Linked DNA regions of Drosophila melanogaster. The protein of the gene in region 4 interacts with the protein of the main gene of each other region in a pairwise test. Each region holds a gene or a part of one and is shown on either strand. Other genes may lie near its edges. The genes, in order: slgA, gcm2, 4E-T and Mst84Da.

Region 1 (4,828 bases), on a different chromosome or scaffold from region 4:
AGGGGAGCAAACGAAAACTCGCTGCGGGTCGGGTGAATTGAAAAGCGGAAGCAGGGCGGAAAATCGGAAGGAAAGCAGCCAGCCACCTGACACGGGCTTCGGTTGCCCGGAAAATCGGAATCAAGCGAATGGAAGCTTGGCAGGATCGAAAAAATTCATGAATAAGACAAAAAAATTCATGAATAGAAAAAAGGAAGCAAACAAAAAAATTAAATATTCTTCTACGTTCAGTTTCAGACAACTTTAACATTATACATACATGGAATTCAATAGCCCTAGCTGTTCATAACTTTTGTTTACTCTTCAAGTGTCCAAGAATCCATGTACATGAATATATTTAAATAAAGCATTTTAAAGGAAGTATTTATAAAATAAATGAATGAATTATAATAAGTTGAAAGCAGCAGAAGAGGACAGAAGAGGCGAAGAGTCAGCACACACTTCGAGAGTTGAAACAAATGGTTTCGAAATCGGTCACTATCTAAAACGATACTTACTTAATTGTAATATTAAGAAAGCATTAAGCAGGGGTTATGTACTAACAGAGCCCCAGATTTCTCAGCAAACAGAACCAGAAACAGAGAGCTAGAGAGAGAGAGAGAGATCTCAGCTAGTCGATGGATTGGACCAATTCAAGGGTCAAAGGTCGCAGGACTCGGCAGAGGAGGAGTGGGGGACACCGATTAACTCACCGTCATGTTGTGCTCGACCAGCTTCTCGCTGGAACATATCATGTAGACGAGATAGGCGCGTATTAGCTCTCCAGTGGTCTTGCTCTTGAAAGCAGCAATCGGATCATTAAAGCTCACGTCCAGGGGATCCCTCTGCGGCGAGCCAGCGGGCGAGGGGTTCTTTTCCTGGGACGACTCCTGCTTCATCGATCGCTTCACCGTCTCGCTGGAGACCACCTCCGGTTGGACCAGAGTGGAGGCCTGCAGCGGCCGGTCGCCGCTGTGCAGGAAGCGCGCTCCATTGACTCCTCTCGTGGACTCCGATGCTGCTCCTTCTCCGGCGATGCTGGTGCTCCCGCTGCCGCGCTGATGGAAACTCCGGCAGGCGGCGACGGCCACGGAATTGCTCGACTTGCTGCTATTACGGCCGTAGACCAAACTGATGGCTGTTCGTTGGGCGCTCAGCGAACGGAGTAGAGCCATTACAAGGGATTCTGCGGTTTATTTACGCTTTCTGCTCTTCGGCTTTTGAGACGGTTATTGAAACGCACTCCAATCTCGGTTGTTGCTGCAAAAAGAAAACAATGGAAAGCAGAGGTAATTTCACTATTATCTCTACAAATCACTACGAATCTGAGGGAAGACAGTGGCGTAACGAAGAGATTACTAAAGGTGGTTATCTCGTTTTCAACTCGATTACAATAACGTTTTAAAAAGTGGAAATGTGGTACATATATAACAAAATTATTACGACTGTTTCAAAATATGCATTGATTTTCAATAAGATCATATAGAATTGATTTAATTGTAATTGGATGATATCTAATTAATATAAAAATAATAAACAAATGTATAATAAAATTCAATTTATAAAAATATTAAAATCAGTGTACATATTATTATTGCAACTTTTTGCCTAATTGTGTTTTTTGCCCCCCCACAAACCCCACGCCAACGCCAATGATCACAGCTGATTTTGTCGGAGAGCTTTTCGCTCTCCCTCTTTCGCTCGCTCCGAATGTTATACAACAAATGCGAAAAACGTGAGGCGGCGAGGGAGAGCGAAGCCGAAAAAAACAGCACAACACAATCACACGTACGCAAGTACACCTTCGAAATGTTCAATTAAAAAAGTCAATTTCTGGGCAGAAATCTATCTTTCGCTATTATGTGTCTTTTGGGTTTTCTTCTTACTTCGTTCTTATTATTTATTCTATTACGCTTTGAGCGTTGTATACGCCGCAAAAGCACGAAACCAAATGCGACGAAGACGCGTGAAAATGGGGCGAGTTGTTAAGCGACGGCAAATTCAACGAAGCGAAACGAGGAAGGACCCGAGGGCGAGAAAATCCTTTTCGCCGCTTCGCTCCCGTTTATGTAACTGTAAATGTAACCGAGATTGTACCGTAATTGTAACTACGACTGTGTGACGTCACAGGCATGCCAGCCCCGTTTGCTTCTGATTTTGATTTTGATTTGGAATTTGTTTTGATTTAATTGAAATGCGCCGAAAGCACACACTAATTGGTGTTAATTGCGGCTCTCCTTGATTCTCCCCAATTTTCGTTCTCAGTTTTCCACCCATTAACCCCTTTTCCCTTTTTCATTTTATTTATTAATTAGCAGCCCGCTAAATAATCGCCAGACGGGAGGCTGCAATCAATCGAAAAAACTTGGCGGGTTTCATTGCACAGATTTCATTACACTTCATTATGGGCTATATCAAGTTCTGTCTCGCTCTGGCCGCCTTGGTTAAAGGGAAACAGGGAGCTGCCGTACTTAAATTGCGAATTCATCTGAATGGTTTTTTTTTTTTTGTTTTTTTTTCTTCATTTTTCTTATTTGTTGCTATGCGGCGAATTGTACCTATTATATAACACTGCTTACTGCTCTCTACCTCGCTTTGTAGAGATCCTTTTATGATACGAATACAACGCAGCCACTCACATGTACACTGCAAAATTTCGCTTGGGTTTGTGGGTTTCCTCTATTTGCTCGATATAAATTTTGCTTTAACGGTTGTTTTGTCACTTCAAAAAAAACAAACTACGATACATAACCAGCAACGACCCAAAAACAATAATAAGGGTAAACAATACAATTTTGTAGAATTTGTAGAATTGCCAAATATAGTTTTTCGGAAAAACTCGTGTTTGTTTGACAAACTTCTCACAGCAGCCTGCGAGAAAAGTAGAAAAGTTCCCGTTTCTGTCAGCGCATTTGCTCACCTCACAAAAGACACACAAGTACAAGTACAATTATAATTATTTTTCGGTTTTTTCGAGTCAATGTTGTTCTTTTCGAGGGTTTTTGGTTTTTGCTGCTGCAACAGAGAGCGTGAGCACGCGCAAGGGTCTGAATTCGCGAATAAACTGAAACACATGAAGCGAAATTAAGGCCAACACGGCGAAAGCTCGTCCAAAAAAGCTTGAGAGAAATTGTTGGACCAGTCGGTGAGGGGCAGAAAGGGGATGGGCCACCCCCAGCAGCTGTTTGGGCTGCACGTGAGCGAAAAAAAGAAACCCGATCGAAAATTAATCGCCATCTTGTCAACTCTTATTACCCAATAAAAATCGGCACGCTTATCTAGGCCCCTGGCGGTTGGCCGGGAATCTTCGGTGCTCTTATCTTATCAATGGACTCCCACACCAGCGTCCAACAAAAACGAACCATTCCTTCTATTCATCTCTCTCCCTGTCTCTTTCTTGACAACCGGCGTCTTGCAACACTGGCCTCGCAAACAGGCTTGCTTTACACCCAGATCACTGGAGAAATATATCGATACGAAATATACGCTCGCAAAATTTGAAATTTAGTTTCAGGTACGAAAATTATTCAAAATGTTTCTCTGTGTAAAGAACGCTTATCGTGGACTCAAGAAAGTATCAAACAGATTTATTTTAATTGCACTATTTACGCAAATATAAGGCCACCAAATGAATATAAGTTTTCTAAATCTTTCTAATCGGACCCTCCCAAGCCAAATATTTCCTTTTGCTGTGTGCCGAAAGAAGGGATTTTAGAAAAGTTTGAATTATTGTTAGTTACAAAATTGAGTATCCGAACTATTTGTTACTTTCAGCTCGCAATATAAATATAATATAAATATCGATAGTTATCGCCGTCTCACAAATCTACACACCAGCGATCTCTAAAAATGTCCTTTGGGTTTGTTTTAAGCGATTTTTTCGGTTACAAATTTCAAACATATTACTTCGTATAAAATCTTTTAAACTGATTAAAATTAAAAACAAAGCGATTCGGCTTGTGACACTAACAAAAAAAAACCTTTTACGTCTCAATTTACTTTACTTTAAAATTGTTTATAGAAAAAAGGTAAGAAAGTTAAGAAACATTTATGGCATCAAAGAAATCATGTTAACGTAAAAAAAAACTACAAGAACTATATGCACTCCATATTTTTTAATATACACAATGTATGCGTACATAGATACCAAATTGTTCCCGTATACTGATTACTTACTGGCGTTTCATAGATAAATATTGCAAAATTGGCTCTTCAAAATGAAAATTCCAAGTTTCCATTTTAAAATGAATATATTTTTGTTTGCAAATTGTTTGCGTTTCGACAAATATAGCAATAAGTTACGACTACATATTAGAAATAATAATAATTAACATTTAATGAGCGACCGCTGCTGTTGATTTTGCTGCTTAGCGAACGCGGCCCGAAAAAGGAGAAACTTAACAAGAAAAAAACAGAACAAGTTATTTAAATACCAAATATATACATAGATATATGCGTGTGAAACTGACTCGGGTCTCCTCCTACCGCCGTCATAACAAACAATACATAATTCGCTATCGCCGCGACTCTCTTCTCGCATTCTCTTCGGCTGGCTTGATTTTCTGTTATTACATAATATTATTGACTAAATTGTAGATCAACGAATGTCTGTTTTTCCATCTCCATTGGGCACCACCAGCAAATAGCTTTAAGCATCGTAAGTATCGAAAATGGGTGCTTAACTTGACCGCAAGACTATCATAAGGGCGACAAATTCAGTTTAAGGTTTTCGATTGATGCGACAATGTTAAAACAATTGAATATTAATGCACAGTTGTGCGGATATGAACTGAATATTTTGGATATGTGTGCAACATAGCCCGAAAAACATGTAAAACCTATCTATATA
Region 2 (6,335 bases), on a different chromosome or scaffold from region 4:
ATGCGATTACTTTAAATGTGAAATCCTCTTGCTGAAGATAGCGATTATAACTTGTAGTACTATTCTCTTTAGTCTGGTTATGTCTGTGTGTCTGTGTCTGTGTGTCATTGTGAGTTTATCGTAAAGCAACTCTGCAGTAGTTCAGTTTCTTACCGGTAGGAGGCTTTTTAAAAAAAAACTGCAAGCCATGTAAGCGGTACAAAATTTGGGTCTTGGCAGCCAATTTGTTTTTCTTTAAATGTTTCCGCCAATTATAAAACATCATTCGTATTAAAGTATATCTTACTATCTATCGATTTTAAACTACAAATCATTAAATGCGTCCTAAAATTACTACAGTTATGGTTAAGTGAGCACCTGCTTGTCTACATTACATGGTTTTTACCATTACATTTTACATGGTTCTTACCAACAATTTTTTTACAGCGCGACATCTATCTCTGATTTCAAGAACCGCACCATCATGACCGCTGAAAATTAGCTATGTTTGAATTGGTCGCGCAATAAGAAATTATATTTACGCACTTAAATTAAATACATTTACTTTTACAAATCAACACTTTTCATAATTTATTTGCCGAGAAAAACAATTGGTAAACCGTTTAACACTACACGTACAGATGGAAATTAAGATTTCACCACTATTTTAAACACTATGTTACTATGCTTAGCTATCGACTATGAGTAATCCTCCGGTGTCCGGATTGGTTAAGTACTATTCAATGGGTGACCGATGGGGCTAGGCCTGTAGCTGCTGCTGGGTGGTGCAAGTGGTGGTGATGGTGATGGTGGTACGTCAGCGTGGGCGGTGGTGGTGGAGGCGGTGGATGGCCAGGGGGCGCGGCCACTGTCGGCGCAGTGGATCCTCCGGCAGTGGCAAATCCACCTGCTACCGCCATTTGTTGCTCGTAGCTGGTGTAGTGATCGTAGTAGCCGCCGTATCCGACTTCCAGGCCATTTCCGGTTGCAGTATTTCCTGGTGCCGTAGTAGTTCCTGTGTCGAAATAGCTGACTCCATTATAGCCACTACTGCTCTCGTAGTAGTGATGTCCCGCTGTCTGATTTCCACCGAACTGTTGGTGGCTCTGCTGCTGCTGGTGGTGGTGCTGTTGCATTTCGTACTCCGCCTTGGGGCTATAGTAGTAATCGTAGTTGTCCTCCACATACGGCTGCGTCTCCACGGTGGCATTGTACTTAATGGTGGGTCCCGGTTCGGCCTTGCAGCTGATCTCCTCCTGACCACCGCCACCACCCAAATGCTTGATCTGCGAGTAGTTGATGAACTCCGGTTCCGGAGTGGCCAGTTGCGGGCTGGAATCATAGGCTACTGCCTGGCATTGTGTGTGTCCGTGCACGGGAACACCCATCGCAAAGCTGTTCCCGCTGGAGGATTGCTGGTATGCGGCCAGTTCCGAAATGCTGCAGGCGTAGGGCAAACTGGGAGATTTACTAGGTGCCGCGGTGGCCGCCGCTGGAGTTGCATGGTAGATGGGATAGTTATAGGTGATGTGCTGGTGGTTGACCGTAAACACATTAGCTGCCGTCTCGCAGGGTGCCGATGACTCGGATCCACTTAGTGGCCAAGAATTGGTGCCGTAATTCGAGGATTGTGACAACTGATGGCTCCTCGCCGTGGTGCTGTCATCCAGGTAGCTGCAAGTGCAGTGGCTATAACCGGCGCACTTGCCACAGGCTAATGGGGGATACAAATTGTAAAAGAAATCTTTAAATATTCTTGTTTTATATACCTACCATTATACTGATATATATCCAATGCGGTGTGAGCCAGAGGATTGCTGACAGCAGGACGCTTAAGAACCTTGCTAATCAGACTGTGTTGTTGCTGTCGTCAGAGAAGAATGGTTAAGATGATACATCCCGGGTGAATGAATGTCTATCTAAGCTCACCTTCGCCTGCTTGACCAGACCCGCAATGACCGACTTCTTGGCGACTGATCCGTTGGCTGACTTTCCAGCCAGCGGCACACGTCCAAAGGCCCGCTTGGAAACACTGGAGTTCTTCGGATCCGGACGCAGGTGATCATGCACTCCCTTGGCCTGAAAAAAGATGGCATTGCCGGAGTGCCGCCAGAAGTGGGTCACCGGATAGCCGCAGTGACCGCGACACGGTTTAATCTCTAGTCTACCGCCACGACAACTTTTGTTGGGACACGCCTTGCCCTCCTGCTTCCGCCGGGCTTTGTCGCAAATGGCTGGGCGCAGGTTGATCTTGGATCCGTTGGGCAGGGTGCAGTGTTGGGAGCAGACCAGGACGCCCAGGCAGCTCTTCTTCAGAATGTTCACGTTGTGGTTGTTCGTGTTGCGCATGGCCCAGCCGGAAATGTGCTTCTTGGCCTCCTCGTTGTGCAGCGAATAGATGTGCCTCACATGCCCGTCGCTCCACTCGTTGAACTCGTCGAACTCCTGGTCCGGCACATGTGGCACAATGGCATCATTGATGTCCCACTCCCGTTTTCCCTTGCCCGTCGACGACGACGGCATGGTCATGGAGCCACCCGCCTGCTGTTGACCAGGACTTGGACCCGGATGCACCGAATGCGTACTCTGACTTTGGGGCTGGACAAACTGGGTAAGCTGAGAATGATCGGGTTGCTGTGTGAGAAGTTGCTGCGTCTTGAAGCTGTAGCCATTTCTGTAGAGGATTTTATATATAATAAGTTGCATTTTATATTCATAGTTAAGAATACTATATTATTATATTTGAATTTTGCCAAAGAGCACAAAACATACTTTAACTTGAGTTCAGATTTTTATATCACTTCTAGTAGCCACATAATAAAAAAACACCACTGCCCTTTTGGAATCTAAGTTAAGGCAAAACTGTGAGTCACAGCATTAACTTTTAAATCGAATTTATTTACATTAAAACTCTTTACATCGAGTAAAAACTTTAAGTGATCCATTTAACTGTGACTTTATCGCCAAAGCCTAAGCATCGTTTAAGGAATTGAAATCCTATCTTAATTGCGCCCTAAACTGTTTCGTAGGGGGCCATCCCAACCCAACACAAACCAATCAAATGAAACGTTTGCCAGGTTTATGGGCCTCATGAAACGCATGGTTATTTAGGCCCAGTTTAGAGGGCTGGTACCGTTAGCCCCAAATCTTGTGCACCAGGTAATCCAAGCTGGCCACAATCGTAATTCGAGCGCCAGTTGAGGAGGCGGAGATGCATATTAAACCGACACTCCGATCGTGAGTCAGCTGGGAATCGCTAGACTCGATGGAGGGCCTCAGCCGAGATTCTCCATGTGTGGGAGTTATTAGAGAGCGAGCTCTGCAATTAGCAATAAATTTGTCTTCCATCGATTTCGAAGCCGATGGATCGATTCGCCTCGGTCCCCTGAGTGTTTTTATGTGTACTTGGAAGTCAGCAGGTTGCACAGCATCTAGCACCAAGAACCACACACCAAATACCTGTGCTACGGTTCGCCTGGTGGTCTTTGGTTTCCCCCGATTGAACCTGTTCGTGGCTAGTGGCTCGCTTTGTTTTGGGTCCGTAAATTGACTGCTCGACACTTCGGGGCGCTCGTTAGTTGGGCTTATCTGATGCTGATAGCGTCTCACTTCGTTCGAGATCTGTATTTTTGGGCCTCCTCTGTCCAGGGCTCATAATAAGTTTGTCACCTAGAAAATATGTCTCTATAAATCGAAGGGGCCGGGGGGGCATCATCATCATCATCGGCTCTTTGACCCTTTCACTCGAGCGCCGCTCCGCCTACGACTGTGTGTGGTCCGCCGGTTTCCAAGATTCGAGATCCCCCTTCCGAAATCCAACATCCAAAATACGAGGCACACCCCGCGGCTCTTTGGAGCGGATTGGACTGGACCGGAGTGCCATTAACTAAGCTGTGGAACGCGCTCAGCGTGATAATAAAGCGTTTGAAATCATTTACATTTTCCCTGACCTCCCCCGCTGCCTCTTTATCGTTTGATTTGTGGCCCATTCTTCATCCGAGATTGATCTGAGGTGTTTGGAAGCTCAACACTTACGCAGATGGCTTGGGTTTAACGCGTGTCGGCACAGTTCAGATCAGCAATAATTTGAAACATTTGTACTGAGAGCTTTTTAATTCTTCGGTAGCTCTATGCCTTGAATAATGTGAGCAAATTAATTTTTAATCCATATTCCTTTGGGTTCCAAGCAGAATAATTTAGAAACTTAGTGAAACCTATTTTAAGCATATTTCAATAATTACCATTATATTTGATAAAAGGTTCGAGAACAAAGTATATGATTATTGTCCTATTAAAAGTATTTTTTGGCAATAAAATTTCGAATTTACATTTGAAAATCTCCGAAAAAGGGACTATTTAGAACTTACATAACAACCATATTCCAATTGAAGCAGCTTCTTTAATCCAGGTATTAGGTGGTATAATTAAAAATATCCAATAAAACCTCAACTGCTCCTAAATGAGTTTTCCGCGATTCGAAAGCCCTGCGAACAGGCAACACTTGAGCATTGTAATCCAATTAGGCGACACTTGTATCCACTGGGCACTTGTATCTCGCGGATAGCCGTCGCTAGTTGAAGCTCCTCGGAACGGATTGGATTGGATTGAACTGAATTGCGCACGCGACGCCGACGATGGGAAACAACCGTGAGAATGACGACCTTTTCGCTGAACCTCGAATACAACCTGCAGGGCGGGATGTGCGCGCGTATCTGGCAGATACGAAAAACAAAAGAGCAGCAGCGGCAGCAGCAGACAAAAACAAACTTCAGCGAGCGAGTAGTAGTGCCAAGTTTTGTCAACAAAGGAATGGTATTATGGCTCTGGCTCCACCTACAAAAACCAACAAAATATTCGAAAGTGGGCGGAGGAGCGGGAAAGCGGGGAAAGCGACGATACAGCGACGAGCCACCCGCATAATTTGCCAAAAAACTCCACGCAGCTGGCAGAGTGGTAAAACGTATCCGTCAGATACATTGCCTTCCAGGCAGTCTCAGTTGCTTCCAGTTCCAGTCGTCTCTTCTCGCCTCCGATTGGTCGGATAAACACGCACACATAGGCTTCCTCTCTTTCGAGAGAAGAGAAGAGAGAGATTTTGAAGTTCCGGCGATGGAGATGGAGGAATTTCTGTGGTGGGGGCTACATACTCGATAAGCATCACAGAAATTTAATTACTTATTATGCCCCTTATCAGTCCCCATTGTTCTGTTTAACTCTGTTTAAGGATATGCCAACAAAAAGCAGTGGAAACCTTTGGCAGAGCATAGATATTCAGGGGTTTATCGTTTGGAATATTCGCCAGATTAGGGGGATGATTAATGGACTGGGTAATGCCGATCTATGCCGCTTAACACGTATTGTAAATTGAACATTCCGATAACTGGCCATGATTGCTTTTTATTTTGAGTCACTTGTATGTATAAATATGTATTCTGTTTCATGGGTCGCCTTAGAAAGGAACGGCATTTGAATCATTAGACTGTTGTCTGTTCATATTAACTATGAAATAAATATAGTTTTGAATTTTCTTTAATTAGTAAACATTTACTAAAACATTCAAAAATTTTCTAATGATACCTAAGTATGTTCTTCCCCCCCAAACACAGCAACTTTCCTCTGGTTATTGGCCAAATAAATTATTTCTCCTAAAGCCACAACATGAGAATACACAAGTGGCAACAATATCAGGGCCAGATCAGCCAGAGGGTGAACTTTTTGGTGAGGCGGGGGCATTGCTGGGCCTAATGCTTGCTGCGTCTTTTGTTTTCACCTGATCAGCCCGCATCGCCATTTGGGCCAAAGTTACAGGGCACAAAAAATAAAATACAATTTATGCATCCACTTGGTAGCACACACTCACAATTAACAGACCAAGAAGAGCAATTTAACAGGGAGAGGCAAAGAAATGGAGGAGCAAATAGGCGTTAAAGTGAAAATTGAAAATGCCGTTGACAGGAAATGTAAATGGTAACAAAAGTGGCAGCGACCGACCAGTGGCAACTGTTGCTGCGCCCCTGCGCTCATCCACTGTGACCCGTAATTAAAAAGGGGCAGGAGGGAATTGGGCCCCTGCAACTATGGCCAGATATATACGGGATTGGGCCTGGAGACGCGTAACTACGCGGATGGCCTGGAAATGGCTGCTGCTGCTGCCGCTGCTGCTGTTGTCGCTTTAACGCTCCACAGCAAATGATACGGGTGACAAATACATTTACCATATATACGAACCAACCAGAAAGTGGTAGAAAATGCACAACTTCACAACTAGCTAAACAGTTTACCCCAGTATCTATCGCGATCCGGCTTATCGTTCGGTTTTCTGTCTTGCAGCTGCTTGGGGTTTTCGCAATTAATTG
Region 3 (7,751 bases), on a different chromosome or scaffold from region 4:
TGCATTTCAATTTTATGGGCAGTAAAAGGAAGTGCAGAATTGGAATGCGGCATTGAATTAAGACCTCCTTTCAGAATAGGTCGGCCTAAAATATGTAAGTCAAAATAATAATGTGTAAGTCTTTGAACCCATTAATACAGAAGTCGAAGATCTCAAGTTTATTATATCGCGTTGTTTAACAAAGATATTTATTCCTAGAGAATAAAATATTGCTTTGGGTCACAGATAACTACATTAAAACAAAGTCCACTTCAAAAAATTCCACTAAATAATCGTAATTTTCATTACCCCAATAAGTCAAGAATAATCAAAATTGTAGGGTACACTTCTTGCACAGAATATAAATTAAGCAAACTGTGTATATGAATATTTATTTTTTGGTCTATTAAAAAATACTCTCTATATTATGTAAGTATATACGTGCACGCACGTCGTGTCTCAAAAAGCCAATTTAGCTATTCTACAGGTTGTATATTTACACCCGGTTCTCGTAGAGATATACTATATTCGTTTTAAAGAATGTAACAGGCAGAAAGAAGCGTTTCCGACCATATAAAGTATATATATTCTTGATCAGGATCAATAGCCGAGTCGATCTGGCCATCGAGATCTCAGGAGCTATAGAAGCTAGAGAGTTGAGAAGCTTGAGAGAGTCATGATGCTGCGGACACTCTAAGGCCCACAAACAGGCCAAAACTGCCACGCCCACAAAGCCACCAAAACTTTTGAAAATTTACTTGATTAAGAGACTAATAAATTGATGAAAAAGTCAACAAAAATCCTAAAAAACGTATGGCGTTACTCGTCATTCTAATGTCTTTGGCAAAACCAATATATGGCCGTTACGTATCTTGTTATTCTAATGTCTTTGCTTTTACGCTACGGGTAACGGGTATAAAAAGCATCCACTTTCTCCTATCCTATACTATCCTCTTTTAAGAACTGAATTTTGTATTTGCGTATTTGCACGCTTTTTATGGTAACTCAACGATTTTTATAATTTCTCTTGAAATTCATATACATTTACATTAAGTTTATGAGAACGAGTAAAAAAAACTTATAGCAAAAAAAAAAAAACAAAGCTTTAACTAATAAATGTACTTTAATAATAGCTAACACTTTTTTGTGTAACTTACCAAATGTTTTTCCGTGGACCATTTGCATATTGCCAGAAGTCCACTTTAACACTTGTTGATTACGACTTTGTGACATGTTGGGAGACAAATGTTGATTGTTTTGGCCAATGGCAAAGTTTCCACCGCCTAATATCATTCGGGGCTGTACAGCCATTGTTGCGGTCAGCTGTGGCTCAAGTACGTTCTCACGAGTACCGACTTGCTTGGCATTTTGTTGGTGTACATGATATTGTGGGTTCTGACAATAAGTGCTTGGTGATTGCGTATCCTTATCGGCTGTCATTTTTCTTAAAACTGAAGTAGGAGTAAATGCCAACGGAGTTGGAGAGTTACCGTGGGAAATTAGCTGATTAATCGTATGGTTAGCAGTATTTTGCGAATGCAATTCTAGAAAAAAATTAAGGAATTTTTACAAATAATTTTAGTAATAAATAAGATACTTTAACTGAATCAAATATTATATTAATTGAATTTTAAAGAGTTACCATATAACCAAGAATTACTTACCTTGAGAGTAGTGCTGATGGACTGATTGAGGCTGAAGAAACGATTGTTGGGTAAAAATATTGGGATCGCCTGTGACCACCGGATTTCTTTTAGAATGAGAATATTCATTCAACACTGTGGCAATGACATCCTTTGTGGCTGCTGGGGTGCTGGGATTATCCAATTCTTTTTCCAAAAAATCATGTGAAACGTCTCCACAATGAAGTCCTATTTATTATTAAACATTTTGTTTTTCATAATATTTAAATACAGCGCAGGGTATAAAAGCATTAAAATAAGAACACGTGGTTTTTACCAGATACGCTTTAAATAAGTTCCCGTTCTGATGGTAAACATGTATATGGTAAACTGTAACATTCATGTGTTTTATCAGCCAGAAACCTTATATTATTTTACCATAAGGACAAGAAAAAGGACTTAAGTATTCAAGAAAAAGTTTATAGACATGGAATTTTGAAACATATCTTACTTTGAATTAAATGTTGGATTTCCAAACGCTTTTGCAAAAATACATGACTACTAGTTGGCATGGTTGGCACGTTAACACTTAACTCTGGTTGCTGCAAATGACCATCATTTATTTTTTGATGTAATTTTGACTCAAGGTGTACATGATTTGCTATATTTGAGAGGTTTATTGTACGACAATCGTCGTTGCATGGATGATGCTGCCTGGCTTGAGAACCCAACTGTTGCAAAAGTTTTTTGAATGCCTCAGTGTCTCTAGCAATAGGTTTTTCCATTTGCACTGTCTGACATAATGACCCTGCTATTGGATTTATTAAATCAGTCCTCATATCCACTTTTATCATTTGAGCTTCCAGATCCTTAACACTTGGAATACCTTAAGAACAAAGTGAACTATAAGGCCTTTGATATATTATTACAAATCTTGACATACCACGTTTTTCTTGAGCATGCGATTCCCGAAACCCTGGAAACTCATTATTATTTGCAGCTTCTTTTTGTCGAAACCATCGGCTAAAACGGGATGTTCCTTTTGAGTCACTTTTTCCAGTTTCATCATTACTCTGCAAATGTACAATAAATATATCTTAAAATTAATAAGCTTACCTTTAAAATATAAATTCTAGGGTATTAGAGTTGCCGGGGCAAACTTTTTTTTTTGCAAATCCATAGAAATTTACTAGACTAATAAAAATATGAAAAAATATCAGAACATTTTTCAAAAATGTTGGCGTGGCAGTTCTGGGCGGTTTGTTTGTTTGTTTTTAACGCATAAAGTGATAGCAGACAACTGTATGTGTACACAGGCATGCTCATGCATTGTAAATTTCACAAAATATGCCCTTCACCTTAGAAGTTCTTTGACTTTAAATCTATATTATTTTTGATCAATTGGCACCATGCGAAAAATTCTTGTTTTGCATTGCCTTAACGTTATTATTATATGAAAATAGATTAGAAATAGCCAAATCTATGTACATATTATCACAAAAATAAATTTCAAAAATGACTTTATATAAGAATATTTGTCATTAGAGTATTCATCTTGCGGCGTGTGAAAAATTAATAAGGCAATGATTGTTGAGTGCTTGTGTCCGTACTTCGTGCTTCAAGATATGAACAAAGCAAAGACACTAGAATAATTCTAGTGTCTTTGATATGACTTTTGCAATAAACAGTTATCATATTTAATTATTTACTATATTTATTATGTCATTTGACTTAATATGATGTAACATTAACATTAAAAGTGTTTAAAAAAAAAAATATTTCGCTTTTAAAAAATTGTCAGATGAGAGACAAATTAGAATTAAACATAAATATAAATGTGTAAACGGTAGCTAATTCGAGCGGCGATTTTAACAAACAAATTTAAAAAGCTTTAAAATGATAATAGTCAGTTAAAAATTATTTTATTTTATCATATTGCTACGAAATTGACAAAAACTACCCTAATATGTACAATGTAAATTCGTTTCTTTGATCAGAATTGATTTCGGTCCGAAAATCGTCTTCTAGCACAACACGCACACATATATGCGTTCTCGTCTCTTGTTTTTACTCACACAAGCAAGCAAATTCTATTTTTAGATTTCTTATGCTCTCAGCGGGAGCGAGCGGAAAGAGAGCAATTTTGGCCGTCACTAAAAAATTGGCTGCATAGTGCAAAACCAATGTATGGCCGTTACGCATCTTGTTATTCTAGTGTCTTTGCTTGTGCTGCGTCTTCGTATCTATAATCTGTATGCTAAATTGCAACATACTAGTTTTTTTAGTTCCTGAGATCTCGACGTTCATACGGACAGACGGACATGGCCAGTTCGACTCGGCTATTGATCCTGATCAAGAATATATAGTTTACATACTTTTCAACGAATCTAGTATACCCTTTAACTCTTTACCCTTTACTTGAGTAACGGGAGTTAATATCATTATTTACAGCTTATTTGAATACTATTATTGATCCGTCAATAAAAGGTAACCCGGAAGTTGTCCATGTAATGTCTGAATGGATTAGGTACTCATTCCTTAAAATCTAGTTTTTGCAATATATTTACCAAAACGGAATTATCCAAGGGATGCATATTAAGAAAGGCATCAAAATTAAATTCACTTTCAGGATTCTGACTGGGCTGCATCTGAATTGGTTTGTTTTTATTGGGATGGCCGAGATCTGTTGAGTTTTGAATAGAAGTCACTACATTTTCGTCAGTGTGCTTCTTTTCATCACTTGGAATGACTTCGCGGAAATTTAAACTATCATTGCTGTTTCTCATCGAAGCTTCATCTTTGCTTGCTTGCGCGTCTAAATTTTTATCAAGTTGTTGAATTTGATTATTTTTATCTTCAGTTACGGATCGCTCTTCGTTTTTTTCCAGGTCTTCAAACCCGTGTAGATCAATAGTTTCTAGCTGTGATTTAGGTCCTGCACTGAACCATTCAGGTTCTTCGTGAATGAGATAGGAATTGCCACGCTTGCTTCGGCTTTGAGTACTGAAAGGCTCCTTACCAGAAATGCGTCGATTATTAATTCCCTGACGATCAAAAGACTTTTTGGAGTCATATTGAAAACGACGATCTGTGACTTCGGGAACACGTTCAACTAACCTTCCACTGAATGTTCGAGAACGATGTTGGCTTTGATTGTGCTGATTAAGACTGCTTGTACTTCCAGATCCATTTGGAGATGTTTCCTTTTCATTCTCAATGCTGGCTTCTACGGTCTTTTCGTTTTTGTAATCCCAATTATCACTTCTTGGCAACAGCCGACCGCTACCAATCCGCCTTTCTTGGCGGGATGTTGAAAATGTAGGTGAAGATGACATGCATTGGTCGTGATCCGGCTGAACAAAATTCAAACATGTCTCAGCAGTATCCAACTCGCTACCCTTACGGCTAGGCGAACTGGCTGCCTTGCCCTTGCTTGCACAAGTGTTTATCCCCTCGTTGCTTTCCTCGCTGTTGCTGCCTTTCGATATGACAAAACGCCTCTTTGCAAATGCCGGCATTAAATGTGAAGATGATATGCTACGGTGATCGATGATATTCAACTTATAGGGCTGTCCATGAGAAAGCGCATCCTTATCTTTATCCTCCCCACTTATTAGAAGAGAATCGGTAGGTACGAAGCGCTGGTAATAGTTGTTTGCCCGTTCTCGATTTCTCATAGCGCGACGTGAACTTATTGAGCTACTATTGGAACAAATTAAGCTCGAGTTATCTGCTTCTGGAGAAAGTCGATTCTTGTTTTGATTAGAATAGGCGCTGGACACGGTTAACGCAGCTGTGTTCAGATTAATTTTCCAAAAACCTAGCGTCTGCAATTCAAGTCGTGTTGAACATTGCGGGCGCTGTCGACTTTTACCTTCATATCTTAGAGCTAACAGGTCTACTTTCGAGTACCTAATGTGAAACAGATTGTTAAAACAATGTTAGTACATATACAAGTTTAAAAAAACAGTACGCGAGAATAATATCGAAAAAGTTGACTAAAATTTACCAATATTTAATCCACATACCTGGCACTAATCTTTGATGTATCCATTGCTAAGGACTATAGTTCACTGTGTAATCTAACTTATTACAGAAAGTCGAAAAAGTTAAGATATCCAAAATTATTAAAAACAGAACACTCTCCTATATGAACGGGAGAAATTGTACAATGAATATACAAATAGTACACACCACTTATGCAAACACACACTTTGAAAAATTAATATATATATATATATATACGTATTTTAAGGCCATATATATGACTGTTGAGTTTCATGAGAATATAATCCCAAGACGCTTACATACATATATAACAATTTTTAATGCTCACAATGTTGCGATTAGCTTTGTGAATATCACGCTAAATTGGAGTGGGATATAGACATTGAAAATATTTTGTTCTTATTGAACCTTAAGGCATTATATATATTAATATTGAAACATTAAAAGAGAAACACCGTGAAACAATGGAATTTTGAAGTTGTGACATTTGTGGGAAAAGAAATTCTAGGTTTTTCCTACTGGTGCTAAAGCGATACCAGACTAAGCATATCTGTCCGTTCGTATGAGCGTCGAGTAAAGGTGCCGAATGTTTTCTAAAATGATTAATATTATTATTTACACTTGAAAAACAAAAAATAAATTTTATTTATGTAACGTCGATGTTTTATAAAATAGTTTATATGATTATTTACATTTGAAATACTCATAATATATAATATAAATAAGAATATTTTTATATTATTAAACTATTAAATTTTAAATTTAATATAAAACAAATCAAGAAATTATAATCAGGCATGCATTACCGAATAATCGTAATTTGTTTCCGAATTCGATTTGATTTCGTAAAATTTTTTGCTGTCGGAGTGTTTTCTGTACAGTAAACAGCTGTTTAAGCTGTTTTCCAGCGGACACCTTTTTCACAATTTTAATTCCGATGTTCGCATTTAATTTTTTACTGCATTTTGACCGTTTAATTAATTAAATTAAATAGCATTACTTACGAACACTATAGGCCATCTTTTAAATTAAGATAATTAATTCTTTTATATTTTATAAGTAAGTTTAGTCGACGCACGCATGACCCCATGCCAAATCGAAAATTTTTTTTGCCGACGGCAAAATTTTGTATGTCAAATTTTTAATGGGGTCAGAAATAAATTGTATATAAAATAAATAATGAATATAAATAATTAATATAAATCAATAGACCACTGAGTAAACTATTTTTTCCCTTGGTAAATAATATCTTACGTGATATAAAAATGGGCATATACTTTTCATTTCGGCCAGACAAAAGTGTCCGTTTTACAAATCGAAAAATCCTTACGAATTTGAAAACCGGAGCACCGATCTTGCGTTTTAAAATGCCAAATCGAAAATTTTTGTTGCCGACAGCAAAATTTTGTATATCAAATTTTTGATGGGGTCAGAAATAAATTGTATATAAAATAACTAATGAATATAAATCAATAGACTACTGAACTATTTTTTCCCTTGGTTAAGATCTAACGTGATATAAAAATGGGCATATACTTTTCATTTCGGCCAGACAAAAGTGCCCGTTATACACATCGAAAATCCTTACGAATTTGAAAACCGGAGCACCAATCTTTAAAATCGAAATCGTAAAGTACTTCGATTAACGGAGCGTGCCCGATAGATTGATTTTGAAATTTTTTGTAGGTGTACACAGTTATACAAGGAAGTGCACGCCTAACGCTAAAATATGCTGCCGGCGGTCTGATGAAACATGCACGGAATAAGTGTTCGGTCGACTTCGGGAATGATCTTCGTGCACAATGTCTAGAAAATGACATCATGTTCCACACAATGTCATGGTCTATCAAAATCTATAGAGGTTTAGAGTTAAATACATAGCTATTTTTATAGTCATAGTCCCCTTTTTTTGAGAATATACGATAGTTTTGGTTATGGTCTAAGAGTGCGTCACCCAATTTCTATATGCCGTCCTGCATTGACCTAACGGTCTCTACCCACCCATTAATGAAGATAATGACGGCGGTATCGTAAGGATGGCAAAATAGGGATGGTATGGCACAGTACGAAGAAATGTGGTACAAATAAAGCCATATGTCGAGTTATTAAAAATCAAAGTTTTTCATATTTTTCGTATGGTGA
Region 4 (2,856 bases):
GTGTGTCTCAGTCTGTCAGCCAAGCGGGAACTTGATAAGGACAAAAGGTTCGATGCCTTTCTGGCGTTTACCCATAAGGACGAGGCTCTGCTGGAGGAGTTCGTGGATAGGCTGGAACGTGGTAGGCCCAGGTTCCAACTCTGCTTCTACCTGCGAGACTGGCTGGCGGGCGAATCTATTCCCGATTGCATTGGTCAATCTATAAAGGACTCGCGGCGCATTATTGTCCTCATGACAGAGAACTTTATGAATTCCACTTGGGGTCGCCTCGAGTTCCGACTGGCCCTCCACGCCACCTCACGCGATCGGTGCAAGCGTCTGATAGTGGTGCTCTATCCAAACGTGAAGAACTTCGACAGTCTGGATAGCGAGCTAAGGACCTACATGGCATTTAACACCTATCTGGAGAGAAGCCATCCGAACTTTTGGAACAAGCTGATTTACTCGATGCCGCTACTACCAAGCTACGTTGACTAGGACATTACATTATTAATTTCAATAAGAAACAAAAATATATAATTTGTTGTCTCCCACACAGTTTATTTTTTGAGATTTACATAGTTCCCGGAAGTATTCCGACAGGTTTCCGGGTCAACTGGTTTAGCAGCAAGGACCGCAACCGCAAAAACTGCTGGTGCCGCCGCAGCAAGGTCCACATCCTCCGCAAGGACCACAGCAGGGGCCACACCCACCACAGCAGGGGCCACATCCACCACAGGGTCCGCATCCGCCGCAGGGGCCACAGCAGGGGCCCTGATAAATCATATTAAAAGTATTCACTCGACTTACGAGACCGATAAATACATACCCCAACCAAAACGTAATTCGGGTTGACGTACATGTACATGATTTTGTTTCTTAAAAGATATTTCCCAACCGGAATCGAAAGGAACCGAAAATTTAGGTGTTAACTATTGAAGGTGGAACGGAGAACTGACTGAATGTGATCCAAATTAGCCGAAGCTTCATTTGACAGCAGTCATGAGAATTTCAAGGCTAATATGATCCGACAAATTATATTCATTATTATTATTATATTCTGGTATCCCAAAACCCATAATCTAGTTAGCTATGGATATTTTCGACAGTTGTCAAATTCATATACCAACTTGTGAGTCAGGTTTCCATCATTCTTATTTTGGTTCTCGGCCTGTAATCATCGAAATATTTTTTCGTCCTAAGTTATTTCTTTGTTAGGTTCAAAGTGAGTATTTCTCAAAGTGTAAGCATGCGAAGTTTTAACAAAATTTTTCTTAGAACTTTACGGAACCATCATGTGTTGCGGACCCCTTGGATTCTGCGGACCCTGTAGCCCGTGCGGCGGTCCTTGCGGACCTTGCGGACCCTGTGGTCCTTGCGGTTCCTGCTGTAGTCCTTGTGGATCTTGCTGTGCGCCTTGCGGCCCTTGCGGTCCTTGCGGTCCTTGCTGCGGGGGCTGTGGTCCATGCGGGCCTTGTGGACCTTGCTGTGGACCTTGTAGGCCATATTGCGGGTGCTGAACAACAACCACAACATGTAAAATATCTTTTTCCTGTGAACCACAAAGTGGAACTTAGGACTGAATGCGGATAAACTCTTCTTAGCTCGCGGGCCTAGTCAATAAAATAAGAATTTCAAAATACCTTTTCCGATGGTTTTTCTCTTCTAAATGGTGCAACCTTTGTCTTAGCTATGGATACCAAATGCGTGACAATAATAATTTATGTAATATAATTGCGAAAATTAAAATTGTCAATTCTTGGTGGATTGCGATCGTTAGAGGGGGCGGAGGAACATCCTACGTTCATATCGACTAGGCTTGTGATCCAGCTCAAGAATAAATAACCTTTTCTTCTATTCACTATAGCATAGCTATTACTCTACGAGTGGCGGGTATAAAACCTGCAACCGTGAATTTAAACCTCATTCAATAATAGTATTTGTCTGCAAACGGACAAATGTCCGATAACAATAATTCTATAACAATAATAACTATTTTTAACCATCAACCGCTGTACATAAACATAATTCGAATTCATAGTAGGCTATGGAAATCGTTCTTGACCTGTCAGACCCACCTAACCTTGTAAGTTCGGAAAATATATCATTCTCATCTCGACCCTTGTGCTGCTCGCATCAAAATTTTGTTGTTTTGTCCCAAATACTTGTTTTTTTTTTTTGGCTTCTAAAGACCGTTGGTAAAAATGTTTATTGTAAAGTTAAAATAGTATACATATTTATTTCGTTTATTTTAGACTTCTCGAATTAATCATGTGCTGTGGACCTTGTGGATCGTGCTGCGGATATTACTGCTGTGGTCCCTGCTGTGGACCTTGTGGACCCCGATGTGGGCCGTGCGGATCCTGCTGTGGACCCTGTGGACCCTGTGGACCTTGTTGCGGACCATTTGGCAGTTGTTGCGGTGGCTGTTGGTGCTAAATGCTCGCAATTGGCAGCCGAATCGATTTGTGAAACCATACCACAATCCCACCATGGTTAAACTAACACCTGAAAGTTAAAAGCCACAAATATATATATATGTATCTTAATGCAGATCCATGTTATCATTGGGATAGTTCACCATTGCTCTTACTCGGCGTTACTCGTTGACATAATAGGAATGCGTTTCGTAATATGTATGTGGGTGTAGGTTTCTTGATCAGGAACACTAGCCGGATACTAAGCGAGCAGATTGTATTGCGCTGCGAGCACAAGTTGCTATATGGAAATGGTTGAGACGTTCTTGGTAATACCATTTTATTTTACACGAATGACGTCTCAAGGTGATTGATTCTGCCTTCCGACGAGCTTCACTAGGACGTTCTTTGTTGTTCCCATCTGGATCAGTTGTACTGCTTGCTACGGCAGGACATTTTC

The links.
Region 1: the proteins of Mst84Da (region 4) and slgA interact in a two-hybrid assay, tested with the Drosophila melanogaster proteins (one large-scale study listed by BioGRID).
Region 2: the proteins of Mst84Da (region 4) and gcm2 interact in a two-hybrid assay, tested with the Drosophila melanogaster proteins (one large-scale study listed by BioGRID).
Region 3: the proteins of Mst84Da (region 4) and 4E-T interact in a two-hybrid assay, tested with the Drosophila melanogaster proteins (one large-scale study listed by BioGRID).

The regions. Positions count from the first base shown.
Region 1 is NC_004354.4:21,372,531-21,377,358, reverse strand, and holds the start of slgA (sluggish A), read right to left. Parts: upstream 3,048-4,828; 5' UTR 2,619-3,047; exon of another isoform or gene 2,538-2,618; intron 1,938-2,537; exon of another isoform or gene 1,866-1,937; intron 1,250-1,865; exon of another isoform or gene 1,240-1,249; 5' UTR 1,155-1,239; coding exon 693-1,154; intron 1-692. UniProt on the Drosophila melanogaster protein: Converts proline to delta-1-pyrroline-5-carboxylate. Involved in the conversion of proline to glutamate, which functions as a transmitter at neuromuscular junctions. Glutamate deficiency could possibly account for reduced motor activity.
Region 2 is NT_033779.5:9,606,920-9,613,254, reverse strand, and holds gcm2 (gcm2), read right to left. Parts: upstream 4,694-6,335; 5' UTR 4,358-4,693; coding exon 4,347-4,357; intron 2,654-4,346; coding exon 1,909-2,653; intron 1,844-1,908; coding exon 1,753-1,843; intron 1,694-1,752; coding exon 720-1,693; 3' UTR 549-719; downstream 1-548. UniProt on the Drosophila melanogaster protein: Transcription factor with a minor role promoting glial cell differentiation and a more significant role in hematocyte differentiation.
Region 3 is NC_004353.4:952,377-960,127, forward strand, and holds the start of 4E-T (eIF4E-Transporter), read right to left. Parts: upstream 6,017-7,751; 5' UTR 5,656-6,016; coding exon 5,630-5,655; intron 5,514-5,629; coding exon 4,169-5,513; intron 2,675-4,168; coding exon 2,545-2,674; intron 2,488-2,544; coding exon 2,113-2,487; intron 1,851-2,112; coding exon 1,644-1,850; intron 1,524-1,643; coding exon 1,137-1,523; intron 86-1,136; coding exon 1-85. UniProt on the Drosophila melanogaster protein: eIF4E1-binding protein that regulates translation and stability of mRNAs in processing bodies (P-bodies). Probably plays a role in P-bodies to coordinate the storage of translationally inactive mRNAs in the cytoplasm and prevent their degradation.
Region 4 is NT_033777.3:7,363,924-7,366,779, reverse strand, and holds Mst84Da (Male-specific RNA 84Da), read right to left. Parts: upstream 931-2,856; 5' UTR 848-930; coding exon 809-847; exon of another isoform or gene 754-808; coding exon 601-753; 3' UTR 518-600; downstream 1-517. Other genes in the region: Mst84Db (Male-specific RNA 84Db), read left to right, coding at 1,275-1,499; Mst84Dc (Male-specific RNA 84Dc), read left to right, coding at 2,251-2,418.